Lonchura striata: one gene and its partners. The main gene of each other region encodes a partner of the protein of the gene in region 3 in a complex. Links are inferred from orthologs where the notes say so. Each region holds a gene or a part of one and is shown on either strand. Other genes may lie near its edges.

The links.
Region 1: SNRPD3 (region 3) and GEMIN4 share a complex: the UniProt entries of both Homo sapiens proteins name them as parts of the SMN-Sm complex. The link is inferred for Lonchura striata from reciprocal best matches to the Homo sapiens genes SNRPD3 and GEMIN4.
Region 2: SNRPD3 (region 3) and SNIP1 share a complex: the UniProt entries of both Homo sapiens proteins name them as parts of the minor spliceosome. The link is inferred for Lonchura striata from reciprocal best matches to the Homo sapiens genes SNRPD3 and SNIP1.
Region 4: SNRPD3 (region 3) and LSM3 share a complex: the UniProt entries of both Homo sapiens proteins name them as parts of the U4/U6-U5 tri-snRNP complex. The link is inferred for Lonchura striata from reciprocal best matches to the Homo sapiens genes SNRPD3 and LSM3.

What each region holds. Positions count from the first base shown.
Region 1 is NC_134622.1:8,702,086-8,709,531, forward strand, and holds the start of GEMIN4 (gem-associated protein 4), read left to right. Parts: upstream 1-4,428; coding exon 4,429-7,446. Other genes in the region: GLOD4 (glyoxalase domain-containing protein 4), read left to right, coding at 335-384, 977-1,097, 1,488-1,632, 1,829-1,965, 2,204-2,290, 2,410-2,523, 2,612-2,698, 3,009-3,074. UniProt on the Homo sapiens protein: The SMN complex catalyzes the assembly of small nuclear ribonucleoproteins (snRNPs), the building blocks of the spliceosome, and thereby plays an important role in the splicing of cellular pre-mRNAs.
Region 2 is NC_134628.1:4,688,616-4,695,920, forward strand, and holds the start of SNIP1 (smad nuclear-interacting protein 1), read right to left. Parts: upstream 3,010-7,305; coding exon 2,870-3,009; intron 2,798-2,869; coding exon 2,695-2,797; intron 2,261-2,694; coding exon 1,692-2,260; intron 1-1,691. Other genes in the region: DNALI1 (axonemal dynein light intermediate polypeptide 1), read left to right, coding at 3,152-3,232, 3,321-3,400, 3,479-3,648, 5,518-5,696. UniProt on the Homo sapiens protein: Required for pre-mRNA splicing as component of the spliceosome. As a component of the minor spliceosome, involved in the splicing of U12-type introns in pre-mRNAs. Down-regulates NF-kappa-B signaling by competing with RELA for CREBBP/EP300 binding.
Region 3 is NC_134620.1:3,928,513-3,935,462, reverse strand, and holds the start of SNRPD3 (small nuclear ribonucleoprotein Sm D3), read left to right. Parts: upstream 1-3,945; 5' UTR 3,946-4,053; intron 4,054-4,503; 5' UTR 4,504-4,527; coding exon 4,528-4,653; intron 4,654-5,270; coding exon 5,271-5,463; intron 5,464-6,294; coding exon 6,295-6,356; 3' UTR 6,357-6,950. Other genes in the region: protein GUCD1, read right to left, coding at 394-559, 2,019-2,103, 3,665-3,701. UniProt on the Homo sapiens protein: Plays a role in pre-mRNA splicing as a core component of the spliceosomal U1, U2, U4 and U5 small nuclear ribonucleoproteins (snRNPs), the building blocks of the spliceosome.
Region 4 is NC_134614.1:14,621,190-14,629,039, reverse strand, and holds the start of LSM3 (U6 snRNA-associated Sm-like protein LSm3), read right to left. Parts: upstream 3,004-7,850; 5' UTR 2,980-3,003; coding exon 2,956-2,979; intron 1,342-2,955; coding exon 1,231-1,341; intron 153-1,230; coding exon 57-152; intron 1-56. Other genes in the region: XPC (DNA repair protein complementing XP-C cells), read left to right, coding at 3,096-3,201, 3,736-3,937, 4,123-4,256, 4,534-4,654, 5,132-5,216, 5,694-5,851, 6,062-6,182, 6,370-6,459 and 1 more. UniProt on the Homo sapiens protein: Plays a role in pre-mRNA splicing as component of the U4/U6-U5 tri-snRNP complex that is involved in spliceosome assembly, and as component of the precatalytic spliceosome (spliceosome B complex).

The DNA of each region.
Region 1 (7,446 bases), on a different chromosome or scaffold from region 3:
ATGGGAATGTGATGGGGATGGGATGGGAAATGAGATGGCAGTGGGGATGAGAATGGGATGGGGATGGGAATGAGATGGGAATGGGGATGGAATGGGAATGGGAATGAAGATGAGGTTGGGAATGTGATGGGGATGGGGATGGGACGGGGACGGGATGGGAAATGGGATGGGGATGGGATGGGAATGGGGTTGGGAATGGGACAGGAGCCGTTTCCTGCCCGCGCTGGCCCTGTTCCCACCCGCTTCCCCGGGCCTGGGGAAGGAGTTCCGGCTTGGATCGAGGGGATGCTCCAGGGGATCCCCTCCCAAGCCAGGGCACCTCCTGGCTCTGCAGGTGCTGCGGCACGAGGAGTTCGAGGAGGGCTGCAAGGCCACCTGCAACGGGTGAGTGCCCGGTGCAGCTGTTGTTCACAGTAAAATAAAGTTTGGGTTGTTTCTTATTAAATTGCTTCCCTTGGAACCTGCAGCCCCCCACTCTGTGTAGGTGTGGTGTTTATATTGCACAGAAATACCACGCCTCTAGGTTGATACTTAATTATTTCTCAGCTTATCAGGAATTTCTCAGCTTATCAGGACTCCAGTTCCACTGATTGTTTAGATAATCGTGGCACTATCAAGGTTCTTGAGTTAAAAATCCCTCCTGGTAGCCCAAGGCTAAAGAAAAAGAAATTAAAAGAAGAAGAAAGAGGAATGCATTTCATTGTGAAGTGGAAGGAATCTTACAGTTTGGTGCCCTTTCCTACTTAGCAATAAGGAAGTGATTATGTAATTGCAGCTAATGAGCAGCCTGTGCTCTTAAAGCACCAGCTGTTAATGAGGTAGAATTGCTTTTATCATATGAAGAGAGCCCGGGGTCAAATCTGCCACGATTTCACTCTAGAAACACAACTCCTCCTTGAAACACAAATACTCGCAGTTCTTGGTGGTTCATTTCAATGCTAATGACATTAAAATATGGATAATATGGATATTCCAGCCCTTATGATGGAAAATGGAGCAAGACCATGGTGGGTTACGGACCAGAGGACAATCACTTTGTGGCAGAGCTGACTTACAATTATGGCATTGGAGAATATCGCCTGGGCAACGACTTCCTGGTGAGTTCCACTCATGATAAGCTGATTTACCTTGATAATTAGGAGCTCATTTGTCACAGCTGCTTATTTTTATGCTGTTGGGTCCCTTAACCACATAATCGTTGCTTTTATGGTTGTCTCTGAGTTGGAAGAGCAGAATCCAGAGCAGATTTGTGCTCACTTAGAGGTCCAGGAAACATTTCTGGAGCTCTCCCTCTGCTGTGTGGGACAGCTGGTGTTTGCTGCCAGATCCAACAGGAGGAACTTGCTGCAGGAAAACACTCTTATATTTATTATTTTGATAATTTTTGTGATTTAGTGGCTGGCAGCAGATGGAGATCTCGTGTTTCCTGTGTGGAAGGAGGTTCTGTCTCTGCCTCCACCCCATGGATTGTGTTGTGTCCTCTCTAGGGCATCACTCTGGTGTCCAGCCAGGCTGTGAGCAATGCCAAGAAGATGGGGTGGCCCCTCAAAGAAGTCACCTCTGGTGTCTTTGAAGCTGAAGCCCCAGGAGGATACAAATTCTACCTGGAAGACAAAGAACAGCCCAAGCAAGGTGAAATACCCCTGCTGGTGTTCAGCAGAGGTTTAACAGTGGGGTATCAGAGTGTGTTTATTTTGATGGCATTTTGTAGAACAGTACACTTTTTTTATAATTTCTCTGTTACTTCTCAAGAATACTAATGACATTAACTGTGGATTTAAAGCTATAATATGTTTGTAGCTAATGTGAAATTATTGCAATCCTCAAGATCCCGTGTGGAAGGTAACCCTGGGTGTCTCAAACCTGCAGAAGTCTGTGAGCTACTGGTCTGGTTTGCTTGGGATGAAAATCTATGAGAAGGATGAGGAGAAACAAAGGGCTTTGCTGGGCTACGCTGATAACCAGGTCAGTCCTTGGAAAAATCACCAATTTCAGGAAAAAAGCTCTTAATTAGAGCAACTGTGCCCTTAATGATGAGTGTTTTAATTGACGCTGTATACACCCAGCTGCGCTTTTAAAAATAAAAAAGCAAAGCTGTGGTTTGCTGTGGCTTGTTGGGAAAGGCGTGGATGGGGGATTTTGGAATCAGCTGCAGCCTGGAGCAGTGTCCCTGCAAGCCAGGCTGGGTTTTTCCCTGTCCCAGTGCAAGCTGGAGCTGAAGGCTGTTGGAGGAGCAGTGGACCACGGGACAGCGTTCGGCCGCATCGCCTTCTCCTGTGCCAAGGAAGAGGTAACAGCCCCATTTCCCTCCCCCCAGCTGGGGAAGGTTGTTTTGGTGTTAACAAAACCCTGAGCAGATAGTTTATCTCTTTGGCAGCGAGGTGATTTGGGTTTGCTTTCTGTTTCCAGCTGCCAAGCATTGAAGCCCTGATGAAAAAGGAGAATCAGAAAATCTTGACGCCCCTGGTCAGCTTGGACACGCCTGGCAAAGCCACGGTGCAGGTGGTGATTCTGGCTGATCCTGTGAGTAAAACTGAAAAGTTTTAAAAGTGGTTAAATTTGGTTTCAGTTCCTCCTTGCCATTAGTTATAACTGAGCTGCCTCCTTTCAGGATGGCCACGAAATCTGTTTTGTGGGGGATGAAGCATTCAGAGAGCTGTCCCAGGTGGACCCTAATGGTGACAAGCTGTTGGATGATGTAAGTGGCTGCACATTCATTTTCTTCCTGATTAGAGATACCTGTAAAATCCAATTTTCATTCCATGCTGAGTTTTTCCTGGAAGCAAATCACCCAGGGTTGGTAAGGAAAATAAATCAGTTTTTAAATCTCACTTGGTGCCCTGGGTGGAGTTGTCCAGCATCACTCTTGGGGCATGGTCTCGTTGTTTGCTGTGGCAGAGAAAGTTGGTTTTCAGTGTCAGTTCTCCTTACTAGTAGCTAAAAAATGATTTATCTCTCCAGAGAGCTTTCCTCCTGTTCTGACCATGTTCCCACTTGTCTTTGTGCAGGCCATGGCTGCAGACAACAGTGACAAGTGGTTTGCTGAGCACAACATGAAGAAGGTTTCAGCTTAGCTGGAGGAATGGCCTGTGCTGCTATTCTGTGCCTTGGAGTTCTTCCAAGAAAGTGCCAATCCTGGTTAAAGTGCTGCCTTCCTAATCAGAAGGTGCTGGGATTTCCTGTGGTGGGTTTTTTTGGGTTGATTTAAGCTGATGTCTCTGGCCTGCTGCTCTGTCCCTTTCACATCTCATCCATCCAAAAAAACGGGGGCCATGCAGCAAAGGAGCAGCTGAGCCCTTGGCTTCAAAACAGGGACCATCAGTCAAGAGAGAATCACATTTCTGTGTTGTTATGCTTCAAGGAAAGGTGGATAGGTTATTTTCTGATTAATTAATTTCCTGATTACTTTGCTTTAGCTGTCCTTCATTTGCAGGCTAGAGAGGAGATTTGGAGGCAGCTGTGGCTACTCCCCCTCTCCAGGGAGGTGTGGGGTGCATCCCTTTATTGGGAACAAAGAAATGATCTTGCCAAGCTGCGTGAATACTCCAGTCCTTGTTATTCCAAGGAGTTTCCCCAGCTTCCAAGGGGAAATGTTCAGCCCGTGGTGTGTTTCTCACTGGGATCCTGCTGTTGCTGGGTTTCCAGTCTTTCTCCAGGAGATTTCCACGTTCCAGCAGGGAACTGAGGCTGTGCTTTGGGGTTTGGAGCTGCACTGTCTGCTGAGGTGCCAGGGGGCAGCTTGAAATAAGTTTTTCACTTAGCTGTTGGTGAGAAGCTGCCTTTGGAAATAACAATTCAGGGTTTTTTGTGTTGGAGTGAAGTTGCTCTGCTTTTGCTGGGAATACAGGGAGTCATTCCCATCATTGCTTGTGCCACGTATGCTGCCTGACCATCGTTTCCTTGATGAAAACCTTAAATAAAATCCTTTAAATCAGGTTTTCATCGCGAAACGAGTTTGATAGAGACGATCGATCGGGCAGCGTTGGCACTTCTGAGGTGGAGCAGGAAAAACTCCTCACTGCGATTTGTTTTTTTTTTTTTTCAGTCAGCTTTTTGAATTCCATTTTAATGGCGGTTTGGAATCCTATTTGTATGATTAAACACATTGATAGTGGAGCATGGCAATGAATTAGTCCATGAATTCATTTATTAATTTTTTCATTAATTATATTAGTCCATGAATTCATTCATTAATTAATTCACTAATGTTTTCATTAATTATATTAGTCCATGAATTCATTAATCAATTCATTAATGATTTCATTAATGAATTCGTTAATTTTTCATTAATGATTTAATTAATGATTTCATTAATTAATTAAGCAGCACACCTCCGCGCCGCCAGGGGCCGCTGCGAGCGCGCGGCGGGGCGGGGGCGGACGGCGTTACGTCAGCGCAGCGCGGGCGTGACGTCACCGCGCGGGCGCCATGGCGGCGGCGGAGCGCGGGCCCGCCATGGCGGCGGGCGGGCCCTGGGCCGTGGGCGAGGAGACGGCGATCCTGCACGGCGGCTTCCTGCTGGCCGCCCGCCTGCTGCAGCCGCGGCCGCTGCGGGAGCTGCGCAAGGCCGACTGGCCCCGCGCGGGGCTGCCCATCGCCGACGCGCTGCGCGAGATCGCCGAGCGCTGCCCCGCGCCGCGCCGCCGGTGGAAGAAGGAGGCCGTGGCCATCGTGTGGGCCAAGATCCTGCTGCCGGCGCTGGAGTGGGGCTGGAGGGATGACGGGTTCTTCTCGGTGGGCGCGATGATCCCCGATGTCAGCCCCGCCGCGCTCTTCGAGCTGGTGAAGGCGCTGGGCGAGCCGCGGCTCTGGGTGCAGCTGCTGCTGGCGCTGCCGCCGGCCGTGTGCCGGGCACAGCTGCAGAGCTTGGTGCGGTACATCTCCAGCGAGACCTCCTTGTCGGACGTCAGCTTCTTCCTGGACGTGTGGTGGGAGGTGCTGAAGCACAGGGCGGGGCAGGAGGATGCCACGGTGTCGGCGTTCGGCGCTCTCATCCACCAGCACGGCGGGGAGTCCCCCCCCGAGGATGGTCTGCAGCCCCCAAAGAGGTTCAAGGGTGACCCTGGGAGCGCCGCGGCCACCGCCGGGCTGCCCGCGGTGCTGCTGGAGGGGTTAAAGCTGATCCGAGGCAGCATCGCCCAGCCCCGCCTGAGGTGCTACGCCCTGGCCAACCTGGCGGAGCTGCTGTGCCTCTCCTCGGTGCTGGGGCCGGGGCACAGCCCCCTGCCCATCGCGGAGCACCTGGCCAAGCTCGGCGCCGTGGTCAGTCTCTGGAGCAGTGATGCTGACAGCCAGTACCACCCCTGCGAGCTGGGAGAGAAGGTGAGGGAGGCAGAGAGGAGCCTGAGCCTCCTGTGCCTGACCAAACCCTCTCGTGAGGAGCTCTTCGATGGCTTAGGCTTGCTCTGCAGCTTGCTGCAGGCCTGGGGAGAGGAGCTGCAGGACACTCTGAGGGGGTGTGAGGGGCTTTGCTTTGAGAGCTACCGGCTCCTGGACGCTCTGAGCAGCCTTGGGAAGAACCTGGATTTCCTCTTGGAGACCAGAGACCTGGGGGATGGCGGGACATGGGTGGTGTCAGAGGTGACACAGCTCATCAAGGACTTGCTCAGGGACACCGGTGCAGTCCTGAAGGGTTTGGACACCAGCCTTGTGTCTTCAGTTGCCATGGCAATCATTGCACAGAGGCTGGACCGCCATGGGGAAACCTGCTCTGTTTTTGCATCTGAAAAGACCTGGGCTTTTTCAAAGGCCTGGGTCGAGTGCCTGGTGAAGAATAAAGCTCTGTTCCAGACTCCTGAGCTAGTTTTGAAACTGCTGGAGACGCTGGTGAACTTTGCTACTTCCCACCATGACCAGGAGGCCCAAGAGCTGCAGATGCAAGTGACCAAAGCCATCGTGGAGTGCTACACTGAGCTTTCATTGAGTGACAAAAACAAAGTGATCTCAGCTGTCCTGGCGTCCTGGGGCGGCCCAGGTCTGTCCCAGAACGTGCAGGTTGTCAGGGAGGGCTTCCAGGAGGACCTGAATGTGACTTTGAACCAGATCACAGAGAGTGTGTCTGATGAAGGCCTGGCCAGGGCTGTGGCTTCTGTGGCCAGGCTGACACTGCTGTCCCCCGAGGCCACAGTGAAGCAGGTTTGTCATCTTGCTGTGGTCAACCTCGGGGCGCACCAGTTCCTCGCCCAAATCCTCTGCTCCTTCCCAGCACTGAGCTTCCTGGAGAGCCACGAGGGTGCAGGCAAGCCACGCAGCCTGGTGGTGAGGTGCCTGGAGGAGGCAGTGTGGGGGAAGCTTTCCACGGCGAGGGAAGAGGAGCAATTCCTTCAGTTCCTGGCCTTTCTCATGCAGCCAGGCTCAGCCACCCCACTTGTGTCACCTGCAGAAGTGACCGAAGCCTTTGTCCTTCCCTGTTTAAAGTCAGACTCTGCTCAGATTGAGCTGAGCCTGCAGATCCTCAGTAAGGTTTTGGGAATACCATCCTGCTCAGAAGAGCACTGGATTGAGTCCTGCCACCCATTCCCACTTCTCCTTAGCCTCTGCAAACTTCTGGATGGTTACACCAAGTACTGGCATCGGCCTAGGGAGCAGCTCTTCCCTTCCCTGGAGACCAAAGACCTGATTCTGAGCATCCTGTGCCAGCTGTGCGAGCTGGTGGGACCAGAGACCGTCCCCTCCTCGGAGCTGTGGGTGCAGTCGCTGGCCTGGCTCCACAGGAAGGTGGCATCCCTGGACTGGACCGTGGGGCTCCGTCTGAAGAAGCTTTATGGGGATCACTTCAAGAACGAGGTCCCAGCGACGCTGTTCGAGATCTGCAGGCTCCCTGAGGACGAGTGGACGTGCCAGTCCTGGCCAGCCTACGGGCCGGGCAGTGGGCTGCTGGCGTGGATGGAGTGCTGCTGCGTGTCCCCAGCGCTCAGGGACTCCATGCTGGCGCTGCTCTGCGTCAACGTGGACAACCCCGAGGAGGTGAATCTCTTCAGCAAAGGCTTCCTGGTGGCCCTCATCCAGGTGCTGCCTTGGTGCAGCCCCGGCGAGTGGAGGAGGCTGGTGCCCGTGGTGGAGCAGCTGCTGCAGAAGGAGGTGCTGCACGTGCCCTACACGCTGGAGTACGTGCAGCACGTGCCCCTGCTCAACCTGCGCCCCTTCGCCTGCCACCTGCAGCTCTCCGTGCTCTTCCTGCGGGGCTTCCAGCTCCTCTGCAGCTCCAGCTGCTCCAGCTGGCTGCCTCCAGAGGCCTGGCTGCACGTGGTGCAGCTGTACTGCGCCAGCCTGACCGACCTGCTGGCCTCCCTCAAGGCCGCGGCGGCGGCCGCGGCTCAGCCCTGCGCGCAGGAGGTGTCCTTCACCTGCATCCAGCTCTTCTGCCACCTGCTGCACGTGGCTGCCATGCTGCCTGCTGGGGGCTGTGAGGAGCCTCTGCTGGTGGTGGCCCTGGAGGTGCTGTCG
Region 2 (7,305 bases), on a different chromosome or scaffold from region 3:
AGACAAAGAATTATTTACATTCTTGTCCAGCTCTTTCCCAGGCTTCTGCCCAGCTAGAAACTCTCAGTTTCTTTCTTTGACTGAATCTGAGACCCACACTCCTGTGCATCACAGCGAGCAAACAAACCAACATCTCCTTGAAATGCTCTCACAAACCTTGAAATGCTCTCACATCCGTGGGACTGATGCTAAAGCTGTTAGTGCTGGCAGCAGCACCCAGGAGCTGATGGCTCCATGCCCAGGGTGCTTCTCTGGGATTAAGAAACAGTTCCCATCCCACAGAGTTGGGGTAAAAAGCCCTGTTTTCTGTTTCCTGTGAATGCTCCCAGTCAATCACAGCTGCTGGGTGACTCCAGCCTGGATTCACACCCCACACTGTGTCTAACCCCCTGTGTGATTTCTCTGCTTGCTGCTAGCTGAATTTCAGATATATTTGGCCACTGCTGGGATGACCTGCAGCATAAATTCCACTTGACATGTGCCAACAGCAAACTGTCCCCTCCCAGCCACCCATTCCAAGGCACTTGCTTTGTGTGCTGCTTTCCTCCCTTGCTGGAATTTGAAATGCAGGGAGCTCTTACATGAACTAAACTCACTTTTCTTACTTACATTAAAAAAGACCTCACAAACTGCATTATGAAAACCAACTCAAAAACCATCTCAAACCCCTTCAGAACTCCTCCCAGGCTTTCACAGGTACTGGAAGACAGAACCCTTTTTAACCTAAGACTCTTGTAACTTTTTAACCCATACTGTAAAAACACAAACTAAACTCACTTTTCTTACTTAGGTAAAAAAACCCACAAACTGCATTATCAATTCAAAAACCACCTCAAACCCATTCAGAACTCCTGCCAGGCTCTCACAGGTACTGGAAGACGGTAACATTTTTAACCTAAGACTCTCATAACTTTTTAATCCTTTTAACCTAAGACTCTCATAACTTTTTAACCTTTTTAACCTAAGTCTTGTAACTTTTTAACGCATACTGTAAAAAACGTGAACTGAACTCACTTTTCTTATTTAGGTAAAAAAAAACCCCACCAACTGCATTATCAAAATCACCTGAAAAATCACCTCGAACCTGTTCGGAAGTTGTCGCAGGCTGTCACTGGTACTGGAAGACAGTAACCTCTTTAACCTAAGTCTTGTAACTTTTTAACCCTTTTAACCTAAGTACTGTAACTTTTTAACCCATACTGTAAAAACGCAAACAAAGCTCACTTTTCTTACTTACGTAAAAAAAACCCCATAAACTGCATTACCAACTCAAAAATTCCTGAAACCTGTTCAGAACTCCTGCCAGGCTCTCACAGGTACTGGAAGATGGTAACATTTTTAACCTAGGACTCTTGTAACTTTGCAACCCTTTTAACCTAAGACTCTTCTAACTTTTTAACCCATACCATAAAAAAACGTGAACTAAACTCACTTTTACCACTTATGTAAAAAAAACCCCACAAACTGCATTATCAAAACCAATTCAAAAACCACCTCAAATCCCTTCAGAACTCATCTGAGGTACTAGAAGACGGTAACATTTTTAACCTAAGACTCTTGTAACCTTTTAACACACTGTAAAAATGCAAACTAAACTCACTTTTCTTACTTAGGTAAAAAAACCTCCACAAACTGCATTATCAATTCAAAAACCACCTGGAACCCGTTTGGAAGCCCTGCCAGGCTCTCACCGGTACTGGAAGACGGCGTGCTGCTTGGAGCAGGAAGGGTGGTCGATGGGGATGTCGGCGATGCGGCGGTGCCGGCCCAGCAGGTAGGCGCTCTGCCTGTGGATGTACATCACGGGCAGGAACTCGTCGTTCTTGAAGGGGTACAGGCGCCAGCGCGTCTTGGGGATGCGCGCCTCGGGGGGCTCGCTGTACTTGATCACCACGCCCCGGAAGGTGTTGGTGTCCTCCAGCAGCGCCCCCGACAGCTCGAAGCTTGGCTTCTCCTTGTTGGCAGCGGGTTTTTCTTTGGGTTTGCTCTCTGCTTGCCAGGGCTCTGCGTTCTGCTCGCTGCTCTGCCGCTGCTCCCGCCGCCTCTCGTTGTGCAGCTCCCTCTCCGCCTGCTGCTCCCGCAGGCTCTGCGCCTCCCGCTCGTGGCCGCGCGCTCCCGGCCTCTCACCGGGGTTCTTCCTCCTGTCTGCGTGCTCCTTGTGCCGCTCCCCGCTCCTGTCCCGCTCCCGCCGGTGCTCCTGCTCCGCCGGGTGCCTCTGCTTCCGCTCCTCGGTGCCCCTGCGACAGTGATCGTCTCGCTCCTGAAGGGAGGATCACAGAGAGCAGCAGCTCAGCCTTTCGGAAAATCCCAGCGCCACGCGCTGGGAAAACACACACTGGGATGTACCGTGCAGCCCTGACACGACGTGGAACAGAGTTCCTTGCCAGCCTACTTGGGTTCCCACAACTGGCACTGAATAAAGCACCAGAAACAGCGAGTGTAGCCTGCTCTGGGGAGAGGACACAGCTCCCAGGGGTGCCTGTGCTGTGGCAGGAGCAGGGCTCCCATGGGAGCTCCACGGGCACGGCTCCGAGAGCAGCTACAGCCACGGGTGGCACAGCCTGAGCTGGGCAGCAGGAGCTCCGACTGGCCCAGATCCTCTCTCTGCTCATGGGACACGATGTAGGGCCCAGTCGGAATTGACACATGAAGAGGCGCCTACCGCACCCGCCGCGGCCGAGTCTCCCCACTCACCTGCTTTACCCTCACGGCGCCGTGGTGCGGGCTGTGGCTGCGGCTCCTCCTGCCTCGCGGGGAGCGGCTCCTCCTCCCGGACCTGCTCCTCCGCCGGGGCGACCTGGGGAACAACGGGAGGGGTTGAGCGGCGGGGCCGGGCCGAGCGCGGGGCCGAGCGGCTGGGCCTCCCTACCTGCTGCCGCGCCCTGCCGGGCCCCGCCGCTCCTCGCCCGGCGGCGACGCACTGCGCCGGGGGCTTCGCCGCTCGGCCTTCACCACCGCCGCCTCCCGGCGCCGCCGCCGCTCTCTCCGCCGCTCCTCCGCCGCCTCCATGGCGCCCGCCCGCACGGAAGTGCCGCCGCTTCCGCCCGCAGCGCTTCCGCCCGCGGGGCGGGGCCGCGCCTGCGCGGGGCGGGCGGCGCGGTCGCCATGGTGACGGGCCCGCGGCCGCCATGGTGACGGGCCCGCGGCCGCCATGGCGGCGCCGCCCGAGTCGCTGCTGCGGTACTGCCCGCCCGTGCTGGTGTCCCGCCGGGGAGACCGGGCCTCCGCGGCGGTGAGCGCCAGCGGGGGGCTCGCGGGGGGCCGAGGGTGCCGCGGCGCCCCGGCCGCCCTCACGGCGCTGCCCTCTCGTGTTCCCGCAGAGCCAGGCCCCGCGCGGCCCCGCCGGCCTCTCCTCCGCGCAGCAGCCGCAGGAGCTCCTGAACGCCATCCTGCCGCCGCGGTGAGCGGGGCCGGGCCGGGGCCGGCGGGGCCGCGGGGCGCCCGGCGGCCCCGGTAACGGCCGCTGCTTCTCTGGCAGGGAGTGGGAGGAGGCGCAGAAGCTGTGGGTGCAGGAGGTGTCCACCGCGCCCAGCACCCGCCGGGACGTGCTGCAGCTGCAGGAGCAGCTGGACCGGCAGCTGCAGCAGCGGCAGGCGCGGGAGACCGGGCTGTGCCCCGTGCGCAGGGAGCTCTACACGCAGTGCTTCGGTCAGTGCGCAGCCTGCACCTGGAAACAGCTCTCAATCCTCTCGGGTGTCCTCCTGGCTGCGCTTCAGCCAAGTTTGTTTAAAGTAACCTGGAGCCGTGTGTGTGTGTCACACACTGATGACACAGGAACCTCTGAGGGCTCCCCCATGACTGCAACAAGTCCATTACACGTTTTTGAGTGCTTGCTGTTGCAGCTTTAGGGGATAGCATCATTGGCATTGCCCGAAGAGCTGCACCACTGCTCTGCTTTTACCTGCTGCACTCAATGCTACAGCTGCAATGGAACTAAACAAATCAATTGTTACTGTCTCTAGGACATTCCATGTCCTAAATGTGGGCCCATTTACCCCAAAGGCCTGCATTTACCTCCCTAGGACCTTCTCTATTCCCTCAGAACCCTCTTTACCCTTCTATACAAAAGCTAAAACTTAAAGCATCATTTCCAGGACTTAATTTTCCCCTCAGGGCCCCATTTACCCTTCCAGAACCCCATTTATTCTCTGACAACCCTCTTTACTCTTCCAGGACCCCATTTACATCTCAGGACCCCACTGACCCTTCAGGGCCACATTTACCCTTCCAAAGCCCTGTTTTACACCGCCATGAAATAGGGAAGCTTAAGCTGCACCAAGGGAAATACAGGTTGGGTATTAGGAAAAAGTTTTTTATAGAAAGGGTGATAAAGTGCTGGAGTGGTTTGCCCAGGGAGGTGGTGGAGTCACCATCCCTCGTGTGTTTAAAAAAAGATTGTATGTGGCACTTGGTGAGGTTGTAGGGCTTGATGATCTCGAAGGTCTGTTCCAACCTGGCAGCTCTGTGATTCAGTGTGTGATTCCAGTTGTGTGGCACAGTGAGTGGTGGAGTGTCACTGCAACAGGTCCCCAGCTGGGTAAGTAGTGACATGAACTCCATGCATTTTATAGAAGGCTGATAATTTACTTTATAAAGAAACCCATTGCCTTTTTATACCCTAGTTTGCTACTGGTGGACTTAATTGGTCTTTTACTTAAAACACCATCACCATGAAGTTGATGCTAATTAAGTAACACCTGTTGGAATTTGTGGTATTGACGATTCTGAAATTGTAAAGAGTCTCTGTTTTTTTGCCTTGTTGTTAAAGAAGTAGCTATAATTTGTCTGTGCTGGTTTTTAAGGTTGTTTATTTTTGCTTATGTTCTGCTTCCCTGCTGCAGAGCTCTGTCCTGCAGGGCAGCATGTGGGGCTCTGCCCTCAGTGGGATGTTACAAACATTAAATACCAGAAACTATGTGTGCTGTATTTACAATAATGTGCTAATATCTATTATTTACATTGAATAGTGTGTTTCCAGCCTAAACCAATAGAAAAATGCCAACACCACAGTGAGACATGGAGGGCATGAAGAAGAAGGACAAGACACGCCCAATTTCCTCCATCTTGTCCCCTTTGAACCCCTAATCTAAAATTCTAAAATTTTACTTCTGTACCTGTGCTACATTTAATTATTACTTATATCAAACACTCAGAGCTGGTAGTTCATCCTGTAAGATTGAAAACTCTTTTCCATGGGCAGAGATCACAGCCAGTGTCTCTGGGGGCTCTGTCCAGGGGGGTTCCTGACCCCTGCCAGGGTCCCAGACCTGCCAGGGCAGCCAGAGGGAAGCCCTGGATTCCCACAACCACCCTTTGGTAAACAAACCCCCATAACACATCCCACATATTCACACCACCCGGTGCAGCAAGATAAGAACTGTTCCTCATTCTTTTCTCTGAGCCTGTCACTGCCTTTCCCAGAACGCTGCCTGGGAAAGCCGTGCTCTGTCTGTGAGAGGTGAGAGGAGCAGCCATGTCCCAGAGAAGGGCACTGCAGCCTGTGTTGCTCCCTTGCAGACGAGCTGATCCGGCAGACCACGGTGAGCTGCGCCGAGCGGGGGCTGCTGCTGCTGCGCGTGCGGGACGAGCTGCGCCTGACGCTCGCCGCGTACCAGGCGCTCTACGAGAGCAGCGTGGCCTTCGGCGTGCGCAAGGCGCTGCTGGCCGAGCAGGGCAAGGCCCACCTGGAGAAAAGGGTGAGGGGAGTGGGGAAAGGGTGGAAAGGCCACCTGGAGAAAAGGGGGAGGGACAGGGGGAAAGGGTGAGGGACTGGGGGAAAAGGGTGAGGGACTGGGGGAAAAGGGTGGAAAGGCCACTGGAAGAACAGGATGAGGGACTTGGAGAAAAGGGTGGAAAGGCCACTGGAAGAACAGGATGAGGGACTTGCAGAAAAGGGTGTAAAGGCCAACTTGCAGAAAAGACAAGGGACTTGGTGAAAAGGGTGTAAAGACCACTTGGAGAAAAGGGTGAGGGAGTTGGAGAAAAGGATGTAAAGACCACTTGGAAAAAAGGGTGAAGGATTTGGAGAAAAGAATGTAAAGACCACCTGGAGAAAAGGGTGAGGGGCTGGCGGAAAGGGTGGAAAGGCCACCTGGAGAACAGGGGGAGGGACAGGGGGGAAAGGGTGGAAAGGCCACCTGGAGAAAAGGGGGAGGGACTGGGGGAAAGGGTGAGGGACTGGGGGAAAAGGGTGGAAAGGCCACTTGGAGAACAGGGTGAGGGACCTGGATAAAAGGATGTAAAGGCCATTTGGAGAAAAGGGTGGAAAGGCCACTGCGAGAACAGGATTAGGGACTTGGTGAAAAGGGTGTAAAGACCACTTGGAAAAAAGGGTGAGGGAGTTGGAGAAAAGAATGTAACGACCACCTGGAGAAAAGGGTGAGGGGCTGGCAGAAAGGGTGGAAAGGCCACCTGGAGAAAAGGGGGAGGGACGGGGAAAGGAGGGAAAGGCCACCTGGAGAAAAAGGGTGAGGGGCTGGGGGAAAGGCCACCTGGAGAAAAGGGGGAAAGACTGGGGGAAAAGGGTGGAAAGGCCATTTGGAGAAAAGGGTGAGGGACTTGAAGAATAGGATGCAAAGACCACTTGGAGAAAAGGGTGAGGGAATTGGAGAAAAGGTTGTAAAGACCACTTGGAGAAAAGGGTGTAGAGGCTACACAGAGTGTAAGCAGTTGTTTCTTTTCCCATAGTCTGCACAGTAGAGTTTTTGTCCCCTATGCTAATTCCAAACCTCCACCTTCCATCTTGACACCTTCCTGTTTGCCTTACAGTGCTTAATGTCAAGTTTCTGTTGTGGTGGGTTATTTTATGGGAAGATCCTTCTTTGATAGTGTTCAGGGAATTTGTGCTCTTGAAATCTTTACAGCTTCTCGTTCTACAACAGATTCTAAATAATTACATTAAAAACATAGTCCACTGACTCTGCTCACCATGTATGAACTATGATACTGAATTTGTCTTTTACTGTTGAAAACAATGCAAAAGTAGAGTTTAATTAGTCTTGGTATCCCAATTAATATAATACAATTGTTTTACTGAAATCTGTTATTTTTTGTTTTCTCTGAAAACTAAAGCGAGACAACACGAGCGACGCCTTGGGGCCCCATTTTCTGCACGTGAAAATAGCAGATTTTATATCCTTAAACTCATTGTTGCCGTTTCCACAGGATGGCAGCAAAGACCATCAGAATACTCAGCTCACTGTCCTCAGGCTTAGCTGCGCTTCTGAAGTTTCTTCTACAGCTTTAAAGACTGCATCACACACCACTTTGTCCTGATGCCTTACATTTTAGCTCTTGTATTTTTCA
Region 3 (6,950 bases):
GCCAAGCTCTCAGTGATGGGAGGCTGAGTTCCCCTCTCACCTCTAGAGGTGGATCTTCCAGGTCAAGGCTGAGGCACGGTGATGGGGAAAATGTGGAAGCTATACACTGCTGCTGCCCAGGCTGTACCTGTGCTGTAGATAAATACAGGGCTTCAGTCTCCAAGGCTGTCAAATAGGCTGGAACCTTTCATGAACACTACATGTAAACTTTTTAAAAATTCAAAAGATGGAATCAATACAGGATCGTATTGCCTTTGGAACAGATCTGTGCCAGTTTTGGCAGTAGGTCAAATTAACTGTGGTTGACTGTCAGTAACACACCAGAGCTTTTACAGCATGACACTCAAGGTTTTTAAAGCTGCCTGCTCTCCCCCTGTAGATGAGAATACTGACCTGATTTTTGTAGCCCTTGTCCACTCCGAGTGTCTGGGTGCAAAATTTATGCTTAACTCCGAAGTGCCGCATTAGGTAGGCCAGGTCAATAGTCCAGATACTCTTTGTTAACTGGAGTTCCTGGATGGCTTTCTGAAACTCATCATTGTCCAAATGATTCAGGTACCTATAGCGTCAAGAAAGGCAGGGGAAGAGAAGCACAGATCTTAGAAGAAGCAAAATGTGTGCTGTAGCCCAAGCCTCTACATCACAGCACATAAAAACTGAAACAACAGGCTTGGCTAAGAAGTAACAAACAAAAAAAAAAGCCCCAAAAACAAACCAACCCACAAAGGAGACAGAAATTTAAGGGAAGGGAATAGGGAATATTTAACCAGATTTATTGCTGACTTTTTAAAATTGGAAATGTGTGGTGCCTTGACTGTTTTAGAGTGCTAGAAGTGTACAGGTGCTGTACCAGAGTCAAGCTGGTATAGAACTCTGTCCTGAAGGGTTTACAGTGTAATGTATAAGTGTATTAGAGCCAACAGAGAAAGAAGAGTTAAAGACTAAAACTTCCTTCACACAATAGATGGATTTTAAAAGGAGGAGCCATAAAGGAACTCAGTAAATATTCAAAGTAAACTTGTCTTAGGCACTGATGACACAAAAGGAAGAAAGTGGGAGATGGAAGTCAGGAGGAAGCTTGGCACAGGTTGCAAAGGGGCAGGCAAGGTAGTTACAGGGAGTTCTGAAAGTAAGAAAACAAATAGAAGTAAATGATAAAAAATAAAAAGCAACTGGAACTGAGGATGCAGGGCAAACAAGGTCATATCAGCAGGGTAAGAAGATTAATCTTGGAAGCTGAGTTTTGGGCAGACTGGAGTGGCAAAGAGGTAAAGGGAATAGAGGTTACAGTAGTCAAGATGGGAAATTACCAGCACACGGACTAACGTCTTGGCAGAAGGGATGGAGAGAAATGAAAATCTTCTGCTTCATATCTACTAAGTGGACATCTAAATAGGTATTTCTCCTGCACCTAAGCTCATGTTCCTCTGTGGAAGGAAAGAGGAGTTCAGCAGGACAGCTACTAGTTCAAAAACTGGTAAAAACAAAAATAAACAAAAAACCCCCAGAGGGCAACACAATTTTGAAGCTGAAACTACTCCTGGAACACAAACACTCATCCCACAGGCTGGGGCTCAGCAGGACAGAGGTAGCACAGGTACAGCACACACTCATAAACTGAGATACACCTACCCATCACTTGAAAATACAAAAAGGAATCGGATGAGTCACAGCTAACTATGGGTTCTGAATTGTAACAACAGAAAAGAGGCAAGACTTTCTATGTGCTTGTGCATGCCAGCCTGCAAAGTTCATAGAGCTGATTAGGTATTCTGCATCTGTGTAATTAGTCAATTATTCAAAGGAGTCCAAAGTTCACTTCAGTTTATGTTTTCCCTTGCTCCTGCTGGAGAGCTGGGCCAGGCCCAAGCAGCTGTCATTGTCCAAGGGTACCTCAAAAACTGTTGCTCTCCTAAGACTGAACTCATGGCTGCTTCAAACACACCTCTTCTCCCTGGGATGTTTCCTGCTACCCCTCCCCATGGAATGGGATTTCCCACTGTAAGAGAGCCACTTACTGAAGCACCATCCTGGAGCAGGCCAGCCCACAGTCCCAGTGGTACAGCTGCTGAATCACTGGCACTTTCAGCTGGATGCAGTCAACTGTGTGAGCAGAACACAAACAATGTCAATCCATACAGGAATGTTTTTCCATGCCATGAAGTCAGCCTGTTCTCAGCACTACAATCATGGAAACTTAGGAATGTGGTTTTGTCTGACTGGCAGGTGGATTTTTTTCTTCCTTAGGGGAACATACAGTTAGTATTTCTGTACAGGTAAGCATTTGGTTTAATCTCATACTCCTTCATTGTTCCATACCTAGGTCACTGGCTTTCCACCCCCTTTTCCCTTGGAAGTTTCTTTTTTCTTTTTTGTGAGGTGATGTACCCACCACCCCTCAACTGAAGCGGTGTCTTCTCCTGGATAACAGCAGGTAAGACACAGGTCTTTTCTGTCTGATTGTACTTCTGTGCCACAAGAGGAGTTAAACCACACTGGGAGAAAACACACCAAGATCTCTGGGCAGGAATCTCTTAGAAGCCCCACAGATTTAAACCTTTTCTATAGATGTCTTTTTTCTCAGGGATGGTAATTTACAGAATTTAAACAAAACTCACAAGTGGTACCAGTTGTGTTAATTCCATCAAAACCTCAGTAGAGAGGGAAAATTAATAAACTCTGCCAAAAAGTCCCAAAACACAAGCTCCATCCTCTGCCTCAAGTTTTTTCTTTTTACGGAGCTGGCAATGTGGTGGTTTCAGTTTCACCACTAGCAGGACTTGAACAGTTGTATCTGTCATTGCTACTTCAGCATTGATCAAAACAAGTTAATCACAAAGAGCTTTCCTCAATAACCTTTGATCTAGAAAAGGCCTTCGAGAAGCTTGGTTAACAAGGTCCTCTAGATTTTATGATGGGAATAAAAATGCATTTGATATCACGTGGATTTGTTTAGTTTTGGGGTAATATTATTTATAGAACTTTTTAGATAACGTTGTTATATTTTTCCTAGTTGTGCCCCTGTTTAATCATGACTTTAAAGAACAGCATACCAATTGATATATTCAGTCTTTTAAATTCATCTAGCTTAAGGTGTTCTCAAGTATCGTAACAAAAAAAAAAAAAAAACAAAAAAAAAGAAAAGAAAACCAATTCCCATTTGTCTTCAAACCAGGACTTCTCAACTATTTTATCATAATTTCTTCTTAGTATGTTATGAATCTGTCCCCTTTTTGTAAACAGCCAGGGCCTCTACCAAGTCCCACATTAACCAAGGGCTACGTGTTTTCTACGTGAAAGCTTCAGAGAGCGATAACAAGTTTTCCTGGCCGTCCAGTTTCCAGTCACCTGTTTCCCAGCACACCTAGAGCTCTTTGGCGATGGCTCGCTGCCGTCCCGACACGGGAGACCGGCCCGTCTATGCCCTGCCTGCGAACCACCCTGCGAACCCCTCTGCGCTTGGCCGGCTCCCCGCCGCCACCACCTTACCGACGGAGCCGGTAACTGCGCACGGCTGCTGCGGGCAGCGCGGCTCGGCGGGGCCCGCACCCGCCGCCCGCCGGGCGCTGTCCCCGGCCCGTTCCGCGGGCGGACTCCGCCTCCCGCCGCCCCCTGCCCGCGGAGGCCCCGCCGGCCCGAGCGGGGCTGGGCGGCCCGCACTGACCTGGCGGCGGCTCGCCGGCCTCCCGGGGGCTCTTCATGGCGGTGGCGGCACCCGCCGCCCGTTCACTGCCGGCCCCGCCGAGCCGGCGGCGCGGCCCCGGGGCCCGGCGCTGGCTCCTCCCGGAGGCGGGGGCTGAGGGGGGCCGGGCCCCGGGGCGCTCGCCCCGCGCCGTGGCGGCGAGGAGGGCGGCGGGGCGTGCGGGCGGGCGGGGGCATGACACGGCGGGCGAGGGGCGCGCAGCCCTGCCGCGGAGCGGGGGCGCGGCGGGGCTGCCGGGCCGGCCCCGGGCGGCAGCGGACGGGCCGCGCCGCCCCCAGCGCCGCGTTCCGGTTCCGGCGCGCGGAGCAGGCCGGGAGGCGGCGGAGGCCATTAGCGGAGCGGCGCGGGCGGTGAGTGCGGCGCGGCGGCCTCGGCTCCCCGCGGGGCTCCGTGGCTCCCTGGGCTGGCTGTGGGGAGGCGCCCGAGCGGAGCAGCCCCGGAGGGGCCGGCCGGAGCGGGAGGGCTGGGGGGCCCCGTGCTTGGCGCCGCGCCCCCAGCGCGGCCGTACCGCTGTGGGGTCCGCCTGGGGCTCTTCCCTTGGAGGTACGAGTGGTTTGTGTTGTGGTCCCTAAAAGTGAATTTCCCAGAAGAGACCTGGAAAAGACTGGCTGGTGATGTTTAGAGTCTTGATGGGCACGTCTCTAGAGGAGTGTTACTGGTGCATAGTCAAAACGCATGTTGTGTTATAAATGTGAGAAAAATCGGTGCTTTACACTAATGGAAGGGATGATGGATTGTGTAATTGGACCTTATTCGACATCTTTCTTTGTAATAAAGCTTTTGATTTCCTTGTGCCTCAGGTGTAGAGCCACAGCACTGCAGCCATGTCGATTGGAGTGCCCATCAAGGTCCTGCACGAGGCCGAGGGCCACATCGTGACCTGTGAGACCAATACAGGAGAAGTTTATCGAGGCAAACTTATCGAAGCTGAGGACAACATGAATTGTCAGGTATCTTTTGTTTCACAAGGATGGAGGGAAGGTTGGCTTATCTGGGCCTCAGAAGGCTCAAAACTTGATCAAAAGACTGTTGCTTTTAGTTCTGGGATTAAAAAAAAACTGTACTGGTGCTGTTTTTTACCGTGTTGAAGTGGATTCATCATTACAGAATGCTTCAAAGAGGCCAGAGCTTATTTCCAATTTCAAAGTAGGATTGGGCATCCCAGTCAGTAGGATCAGAGATTTTAAGAGTCTGTCCTGTGAACAGTGTTTTTCCAGAATTCTTTGCTTAAAGCCACTGAGTGTAAGAATAAAAAAACCCCTTGATTTAAGAAACTAAAGCTTATTTAATGCACATTACTATAGTCGTTCCAAGAGGGCCTAACTTTGATTTCAGGCAAGTGATCATTGACATTAGAATGCTTTCCCAATTGTTAGTACTAGAATAGCTTTATTAAAACTATTTGCATATAAGAAAACAAAAATGATAGATACTGATAAAGCTAATTTGTAAACTGGTGAGAAAGCAAAAGTCCTGGGCAGCAGGCATGGGGTGTGTTTAAATGGTCGTGATGCCTTGTGTCACAGGTGAGGCCTGTCTGAGCATTGACTGATTTTTTACCTTGCAGATGTCCAACATAACAGTGACATACAGAGATGGACGGGTGGCACAGCTCGAGCAGGTGTACATCAGGGGCAGCAAGATACGGTTTCTCATCTTACCAGATATGTTGAAGAATGCTCCTATGCTAAAGAGCATGAAGAATAAAAACCAGGGCTCTGGAGCTGGGCGAGGGAAAGCAGCCATTCTCAAAGCTCAAGGTACGTACAGTTTGTTCATGATCCCTCCCCCTGTTTTTCTGTAGAACTGGAAGACTCATCTCTGTCTCTGAGGAGATTAAGCAGTAAGAAGTGAAAAGCTTGCTGGTTCATACAGTGTTTTTCTGTATATTTTATCTTACAGTGAGAGTCAAGACTCAAATTGTCCCAATTACCTGAATGTGATGTGATGAATATTGATGCTACAGTAATTTAGAGGTAGTGAGTGGCCTTATTAAACAGAGCCTTTCTGTTAAATTTAAGAGTTCTGTTTTCCTGCAGCTTTGGCCACCAGCTGTTTGAAATGCTTAGGGAAGGATTCAGGTGTTCTTGTTGAGCTGTTGTAGGAAAACAGCTTTAGTTACAAAGATGGTACTTGAGCTGCTGGGAAGCTGTAATTATTACCTTTTCTGTAGTTCACTCTCATTTGTGCCTTTCTCAGGGGATCAGTCTAGTTGTTAGGTAGTTGAGTAGCAGTCACAAAGTCCCTGGTTAGCATGCAGTAACGTTTATGTGGGGGAGTAACTTACTGCATGTTGCAAAACCTTGCAAGAGTGTGGGGTTTCAAATCTCTGGGGTGACACAGATTTGTGTGTCAGAAGGAACATGAGATGTCTGAATATCACCTGCAGTTGTCCTGAGGAGCCAGACTGTGGGACCATTAGGTTATGGTTCTTATCACAGAATGCTTTGTGCTCTTCACATCACTTTCTGAGCATTTCCTTGCTTCTGAGTAGGAGACCTTGAGTTCTGTTGATATTTTGCTTGTCAGTTGTTGAGATAAATGTGCAGGTATGTCAAATTCATGTCATCCCTGATGTTTTCTTTCTTCAGTGGCTGCAAGAGGAAGAGGCCGTGGTATGGGCCGTGGCAACATCTTCCAGAAGCGAAGATAATTTTGGTCTCGGCCGAATTGCTTTTTGTATTTGGGGTGTTAACTTGACTATGTGTGCACGTTAGTATCAGCTTTGTTTAATAAATGTTTCTGACAAAAACTTGTCTGCTCTTACCTGACAGGACAATTCTTGGACAAATACACTGTAGGTTGGTTTCAAACTCAAGCCAGCTTTGGAAAATAGTGGACTTTATTATATCTAGTTTTGACCACTTTATGTGATGCATTGATTTCTGAAGATCATTATGTTTCCTTTTTCTTGTTTAGTCCTGCTGTCATTTATTCTCTGAAGAATTAGAAGGCATTCTTAATGAAGAATTTTGGGTCATACATTATAAAGTCTTACTAGCAGCTGCATTTATGGAAAATACAGCAAAACAGAGGCTGCTTCCTGAGAAGCAGAGCACTGTGTCCTTTAGCTTTATATAGGCCTACAGTAGATAGAGGTTTATCTTCAAATCTCTATATTGTATTTGTATTCTTGCATTTTTTATCTTTCTCTTTGGATATAGGGAGAATTTTTCATTAGGAACACACAACTTTGATAGCCTGAATCTATATTTGCAGTGAAAAAATCTGTTCTGACTTTCTTAGT
Region 4 (7,850 bases), on a different chromosome or scaffold from region 3:
GTAGTTTTAAATAAAAAAATATGTCAGGATAAATTAACTCCTTTTTTAGGTCTTACTTTATAAATCTCTTCATAGGTTTCTTCATCAATCTCTATTGTAGTCACAGTTTCTTCTACATCACCCAAAATCATATTTAAGTGCTGATCGTATGCCTGTAGAAAGTAAGTTTAGTTTACCATGTTTCCCAAAATTCAAACATGAGTTTCTTAAAATGAGAATTTTAGCAAGACTTTGAGACATAGTTTTGTCTGATTTTGACCAAAACATAGTACTATCATTCTAGTTCCAGCTCAACACAAACATAAACAAACGAGAACTTTGCAGCAGAAAAAAGAAGGTACAACATTTGCATTTACTGCAACACTTGCAGGAAATAGCTCTGAAGCATTCTGTGAGAGCATTTACAAGACCTCAGAGACAGACAGACTTTGTTAACATTAAACCAGCTATACACTGCTGCCAGTCCAGCCTCCTGGAATTGATTGCCTGGGGGCAACTTACAGGGTTTGAAAGCTGCTTCTCGTACAGTGCTACAAAACCTTATACTCATGTTCCAAAATCCTTAAAAAGCATGTTGCAAACTACATGTCCCTCATGGATCTCTCATTATCTGTGTGCTTCCAAAGGAGTTGAGGCCCAGTTAACTCATGGGGCAACTGGTTCTCCTCCCAGCAGGGCACAGCACTCAGGGAGGCTGACTGACTTACAGAAAGCAAAAATCTGAGAATGCAGCTGAGCACCTGTCCCATCACACCTCCCAGGGTGTGCCTTAAGGGATTCTTGTTTGATAATAATGACCTCAGTCTAGAAGAGGCCTCAGGGTACATCATATGAAGAGGCCTGCAGCATTATTGCTTATTTCACAGACAGAGAAATGGAAGCCAAAAGCAGTGAAATTTGTTGCTTGGTATCATTCAGGAGACAAGAAGAACAAAATACATCTCTTGATTTTCTAGGGAAGCAGTTAATAGCTGACAAAGCACTGAGGAAATGAGATTTTTCCACCAATCACATTACAGTTCTGGTAACTAAGACAATTCTTAACCTACTTTCTCCAACCACTTCTGCACTTTCAACCAGGAAATGCAATTACTCATGTTTTAAAACTAACTTTTTCAACAACCAGTGGAATATTACAGGTAAACTTGTTTAACAGACTGTTGTACATAAAGAAAGGCTGCACAGTGCTTAGCTGGATGAGCATGACAATGTTGTGAAAGTTTTACTTACATGTAATCTGCCTCTAAGCTCTCTGTCATTCCTCATTTTGACATAGATTCGCTCATCTAGACTGAGTCTGATGAGATCAAGTGGCTCCTCTACAGTATTTGTTGTTTGTTGCTAAAAAAAAAAAGCAGCATTATTTGTACAGAAGAAGCCTGTCAGCTTTTCCACTCCTCAATGTGCGACACAGAAAACAAAGGAGTGAAAACACAGATGCAAATAATTCAAATTACTCCATGACATGTTAGAGAACCTGAGTGCTGCTGATTTACCACTCCACTGACACTCCGCAGCCCTGAGCAATGCGAGTCAAAATATTTCATTTTAGCCTGCAGCAAATCATTCTTTACACACAGGGGGACTGGAACTGGATGATCTTTAGGACATCACAAAAACCATTCTATAAGCAGTGAACTGTTTTTCCTACCGGCAGCCACAGTTTACACTGCAGGAACCAGCAGCATAGCTGTGCCGTGGCACGGCACAGCTGAACCAGCCGAACCCACGCTGCCTGCGGTGCCGGCACAGGGAGTTACCTGGGCACACCCAGGGGGCTCTCGTGTGCCGGGGTACATCCCGGGGGATCTCGGGTGCCCCGGGCACACCCCGGGGGCATCCCTCGGGTGCCCCGGGCACACCCCGGGGGCATCCCTCGGGTGCCCCGGGCACACCCCGGGGGCATCCCTCGGGTGCCCCGGGCACACCCCGGGGGCATCCCTCGGGTGCCCCGGGCACACCCCGGGGCGATCCCTCGGGTGCCCCGGGCACACCCCGGGGCGATCCCTCGGGTGCCCCGGGCACACCCTGGGGGCTCTCGGGTGCCCCGGGCACACCCGGGGGGATCTCTCGGGTGCCCCGGGCACACCCCGGGGGGATCCCTCGGGTGCCCCGGGCACACCCCGGGGGGATCCCTCGGGTGCCCCGGGCACACCCCGGGGGGATCCCTCGGGTGCCCCGGGCACACCCCGGGGGGATCCCTCGGGTGCCCCGGGCACACCCCGGGGGGATCCCTCGGGTGCCCCGGGCACACCCCGGGGGCATCCCTCGGGTGCCGGGGCACACCCCGGGGGGATCCCTCGGGTGCCCCGGGCACACCCCGGGGGGATCCCTCGGGTGCCCCGGGCACACCCCGGGGGGATCCCTCGGGTGCCCCGGGCACACCCCGGGGGGATCCCTCGGGTGCCCCGGGCACACCCCGGGGGATCCCTCGGGTGCCCCGGGCACACCCCGGGGGGATCCCTCGGGTGCCCCGGGCACACCCCGGGGGATCCCTCGGGTGCCCCGGGCACACCCCGGGGCGATCCCTCGGGTGCCCCGGGCACACCCCGGGGGGATCCCTCGGGTGCCCCGGGCACACGCTGCCCCCCACACTCACCGCGGCCAGGCCGGGCCCCGAGGCTGCCGTGAAACCCCAGCACCCAGCGGCCTGAGGCCCCTTGCTGGGCGAAAGGCGCACTTCGAGAATCACAATTTAAAAAAAGTGTGACGACCTCCTCCACATCTTCCATACACATCCCGTATTTCCCTTCTAGCTGCCCCCGTCCTTCAGAGCCCGGGGCACTGCCCTCGGCGGCTTTCCCCCTTCCCCTCCGCGGGCAGTGCGGGGTCGGCGGGCCTGCAGCGAGCCCTGCCCGCGGCCCGGCAGCGGCGCAAGCTCGGAGCCGGCACGGAGAGCTCCCGGGCTGCCCAGAGCTGCCTCCCCTGCGGCCCGAGGGAGCCCAGAGCGCTCACCTGGTCCACCTCATCCGCCATCATTCAACGCGCCTCCCGCGCCCGCCCGCGAGACTTTATGGCCCGGCCCCTTCCTTCCCTCCCCTTCCCTTCCCTCGCCTTGCCCGCCGCGCCCTCCGCGGGGCGGGCCGGCCCGCGCCATGGCCAGGAAGCGCCGAGCGCCGCCCCGGCCCGCCGCCGCCAGCAAGAGGCGCTCCGGGCGGCCGCCGGAGGACGAGCCGGAGGAGGGTGAGGAGGGTGAGGAGGGTGAGTGCGGCACGGAGGCCGCGGCGGGCCGGAGCTGCGCCGCCGCCGCGGCTCGGGCCGCTCCAGCCGCGGGGTCGGCTCGGGAAGGACGGGCGCGCCGGCCTGGAGGAAGATGGATGTTATCGCTGCGTTATCCAGGCGTTAAACCCGCGTGTGACTCGTCCCCCACGCTGCCAAAGGCTGAGCAGCCCGTGCGGGGCTGTTTCATCTCGGCCGTGCTCTCCTGAGCAGCGGCATGCGAGAATAACTTGTTATGAGTGGCAAGCACGATGCTTGGTTTTCCGCCGATTCCATCGGTAGGACTGTAGGAATCTTTAGGTACTTCTTGTGAGTTATGTAGGTATTTCTCTCCAACAAGTCTCACTGTTCAAATCCTGCTTGTTTGTAAACAAACAATGACATGCTCAGCATTGTGATTGCTCGCATTCTTCTGAAGCTGCCTCTAATGAAGGCCATGGAGATATTGTTTCAGATGGCCATGGAGATGAAACTCTGTCCTCTAACATTAATCTTCATTTCTTTTGTCATTTGCAGATGATTTTGAAGAGAAAAAGCCCAGTATAAAAAAGACCTCAAAAGCTCCAGCTAGGAAAAAGGGAGATGATTGTGATACTGAAGTTTCCAACTCAGCAAAAACTTCCAAACTTTCAAAACAAGAAGAGGCAAAATCACAAATAAAAGAAAGTAAAAAGAATGCTAGAAATAAAGATAATTCTATCAAAGAAGAAACATGCAGGTAAATTTATTTATCACTCAAGTCTATAGGACCTTTTTCTTACTTCTTTCTGTGGTTTGATGGTCAAATACTCAATCGGTTGTTACTGATGCAGAGATCATGCTTGATTTGTTTCTCTATTTTTAGTCTTTGATAAACAAGCACCTGTGTTTCCTGGTGCTACCACTGTTTTGTGATTTTAACAGTGACTCACTGAAGCATCCTCAGACGGAGATAAAATTAAAGACAGAATCTCCTGTTAAAAAAGAAATGGATGAAGACAATACTGACAACAATGATGATGATGATGAAAGTGAAGATGAATGGGAGGATGTGGAAGGTAACAATTGCATATTTTTTCATGTTAAGCACTTTTTTTAAGAGCCTGTATATCACAATGATTCCTCAACAGCAGGTGACCAACATCCCACAGTAATTTCAATTAACTTAGCACACACAGTGTTATGGAAGATCCAGGAGCTGGTAGTTACTGGATGTGTTCTGTTTGAAGGTTGTTTGAACACTTGAGAAGGAAAATGTAGGTTCTTATCCAATCACCAGTCCTCCCTGGGAATCTATTCCATGTTTACTTATAATTTAGTGTTTTATTTTTACAGAACTTCAGGAGCCTCCAGATAAGTTAGAAGAAGCTACTGTTCTTCCATCAGTGGGGCTGCCAAGCAATCCTGTCGAGATAGAGATTGAAACCCCAGAGCAGGTGAAGAAAAGAGAGAGGAGGTAAGAACAAGGAGGTGGTGGAGGGCTGCTAAAGGCTGAAGTTAAAAATACCCTAAGTCTTGGCTGTCACTGACTTGCTGCGTTCATTCAGGGTGAAAATCCCCACGTGGTTCAGACCAGTGAGCTGGAATAATGCAGGGCTATGGGATGAACAGTTTACACACTGACTGTTCTACCAAAAATCTTCAGTGGAAGTTGGCAGGAATGGAGGAGGCTTTTCAGCTTCCTCGAAAATCAAGTGTGTAACTTCATTGTGTTTTACTGTCTCCGTTTCCAGTGAAGGGACAGCAGGAAGTCTCTGCGAGGACAGCTGTGGGTGAATGACATTGTGTTACTGCAAAACCTTAACAACCTGTTCACATAACCAATCACTAAACCTTTCCTTAAGTGTGCATGGAAGATGGCCCAGTTCAGAAATCAAGAAAGGCAGGTCCACAGAAAACCCACAACATCCCTTTCTTTTGTAATCTTCTGCAGAGAAAAAAGAAAAGCTGAGTTTGAGATGTACCTTCGGAGAATGATGAAACGTTTCAGCAAGGAGGTTCGTGAGGACACACATAAGGTATTTGTCACAGAGAACCATGGCAGAGAAGAAATTGAGCATAAAGGTGTCTGAACTGATTTGTAATCAAAATAAGCTATTTTTTAAATAGTTAGAAAGGCTAGAAGTGACAAAATAAAGAGGCTGTCGTCCTGACAGATGCTCATTAAGGTTCCTCTTAAACTGTGAACTGGAAACATCAGTACCTGTGTTAGTAAAATTCTAACTCAAAGCATATGTGAGTAGGATGTATATGTCTCCATAGAGGGATATTGTCTCATTCTGTTGGGATTAAACTGTCAGCCATGTAGAGCAGGAGACACTTGCAAAGACTTTAGTGCTTTGCTGTCTTCTGAAGACAGCACTGAGTCTTGGGAGGCATTATTGCCACCTCTCTCTGTTAAAAGGAGCAGTGAAGTATTCCTTGTCTTTACCATGAGCAGTAGTTCCAATAAGGAAAATCTCTTGTGAACTCACTTTCAAACTCTTCTCTCTCAGGTTCACTTGCTGTGTTTACTAGCAAATGGTTTCTACAGGAACAGGATCTGCAGCCAGCCAGATCTCCTCGCCATCGCTCTGTCCATCATCCCCACCCGCTTCACCCAAGTGCCCACAGGCCAAGTGGGCCTTGTCTACCTTTCCAACCTGGTGAAATGGTAAAGCTCTTCTGATGGTGCTGTCACATAGAATGTAGAGCGAGAGTTCTGGGAGAGGGGTAACTGTAACTAGCAATTTTCTGTGGGTTTTTAAAATTTTATCTGCAAGGGTGAGAGGGGCTGTCCTTTTTAGAGAAGGAGAGGGTGAACTCAGAAGTTTAAGAATACAGTCACAAACACTGGATAATAAGCAGGTGTCTTGTATTTCAGGTTTGTTGGAACCTTCACTGTCAATGATGAGCTTTCCACTGAAAAAGGAGAGCCCCTTCAGGCAACACTGGAGAGGAGGTTTGCCATCTATGCTGCACAGGATGATGAGGAGCTTGTTCATGTAAGAGACTGGGAAGTGCAGGGCTGGTTGGTGAGTTTGGATGCTGTGTGTCAGGTCATACACAAGTGGTGGAAGGGGTGGATTTGAAGAAGGCAGATCGGTGACTTAAATGATTCTCTAGCTTTTTATTTTCTTGCATTTTTATCTCAAGAGCTCCTGTGATTAAAGTACTCAATCTGTTTTGCAGATATTTTTAATTATTCTGAGAGCATTACAGCTGCTGTGTCGTCTCGTGCTGTCTTTTCAGCCTATTCCTCTCAAGGAGACAAGACCAAAGGTAGATTTTGTTGTTTGTGTAGAATAAGGAATAGGTCATTGATTTAGTAGGATTAAAAAAACTTTATTCCTATTACAGCTTATAGTGAATTGTTTACTGCATGAACCAGGGTTCTGTCTACATTGCAGAAAATGCACACCCTTAATTTTTAATTTTCTTCTTTAAAAAAGCCACTCATTTCTGTGTTTCAGCAAAGATTTCTTAACATTTCAGTGGGTTTACATTTCTTAAAACTTAGATGGCAACTCTTACTGCATGAATACACCTCTATTCAGCCAGTTGCCTGAAGTTTTCAAGTGAGTTGATTGTACCCGTGAACCTTTGGTCTGCATGAACCTTGGGCTGATTTTAGTCTTTTTTTTTTACCATGTTCTTAGCTGTGGTCATAAAAATGACCTGGCCTGTTTCCCTGTAGGCAAAGAGCTCATCCAAGAGGCTGTCTCACAGCAGCACCCATGAGGGACGGGAGAGTTCTGCCACAACACCCAAAGCTGTGGCAAAAACATGCCCCTGCAAAAAAGCCAAGCAGGATGAGAAATCCTCAGAGAGCAAAGAAAGCAACAAGGAGCCAAAGAAACCCAAAACTGCCCAGACTGGAAGGACACATAAATCAAAGCTGACTAAAGGTAGCCAGGAACAGAAGGGATCAAATAATGAGACCAGTTCAGCAGAAAAAGATGTGCCAGTCAGGCCCAAGAACGACCGCCGGAGACGAGTGGCCTCCAAAGTGTGTTACAAGGAAGAGAGTGGAAGTGATGAGGGCAGTGCTTCAGACTTTGAGGTTTCAGAGGAGGAGAGTGATCTCTCTGATGAGGATTTTGAAACTGTCCCTAAGAGGCGGAGAAGTTCACAGGCCTCCCAGAATTCAAAGCTGACAACTGTAAAAAGGTCAAAAACTGAGACTTCAGAAACAAGGCAAGCAGAAAATTCGCATGGAGCTGAGACTAAACCAGCAAAAAGTACAACTCCAGCCTTGCCTCAAGCACAGAGAAAGAGAAACAAAATCATTTCTAGTGATGAGGATGATGGACAGCAGGAGGTGAGGAGAGCAATGGGCACAGACCAGTGGCTGGAGGTTTTCCTTGAGCCTGAGGACAAGTGGGTTTGTGTAGACTGTGTTCATGGCAATGTGGGCCAGCCCCAGCTGTGCTTTGCACATGCCACAAAGCCGCTTTTCTACGTTGTGGGGTTTGACAACGATGGGAGTGTCAGGGATGTGACACAAAGATACGATCCAGTGTGGATGACCTCAACAAGGAAGAGCCGTGTGGACGCAGAGTGGTGGGAGGAGACACTGCAGCCATATGAAAGTCCCTATGTGGAGAGAGACAAGAAGGAAGAAAATGAGGTAAATCACACTAGGTTGTTCAGGACACGTAGTGCCAGGAGTC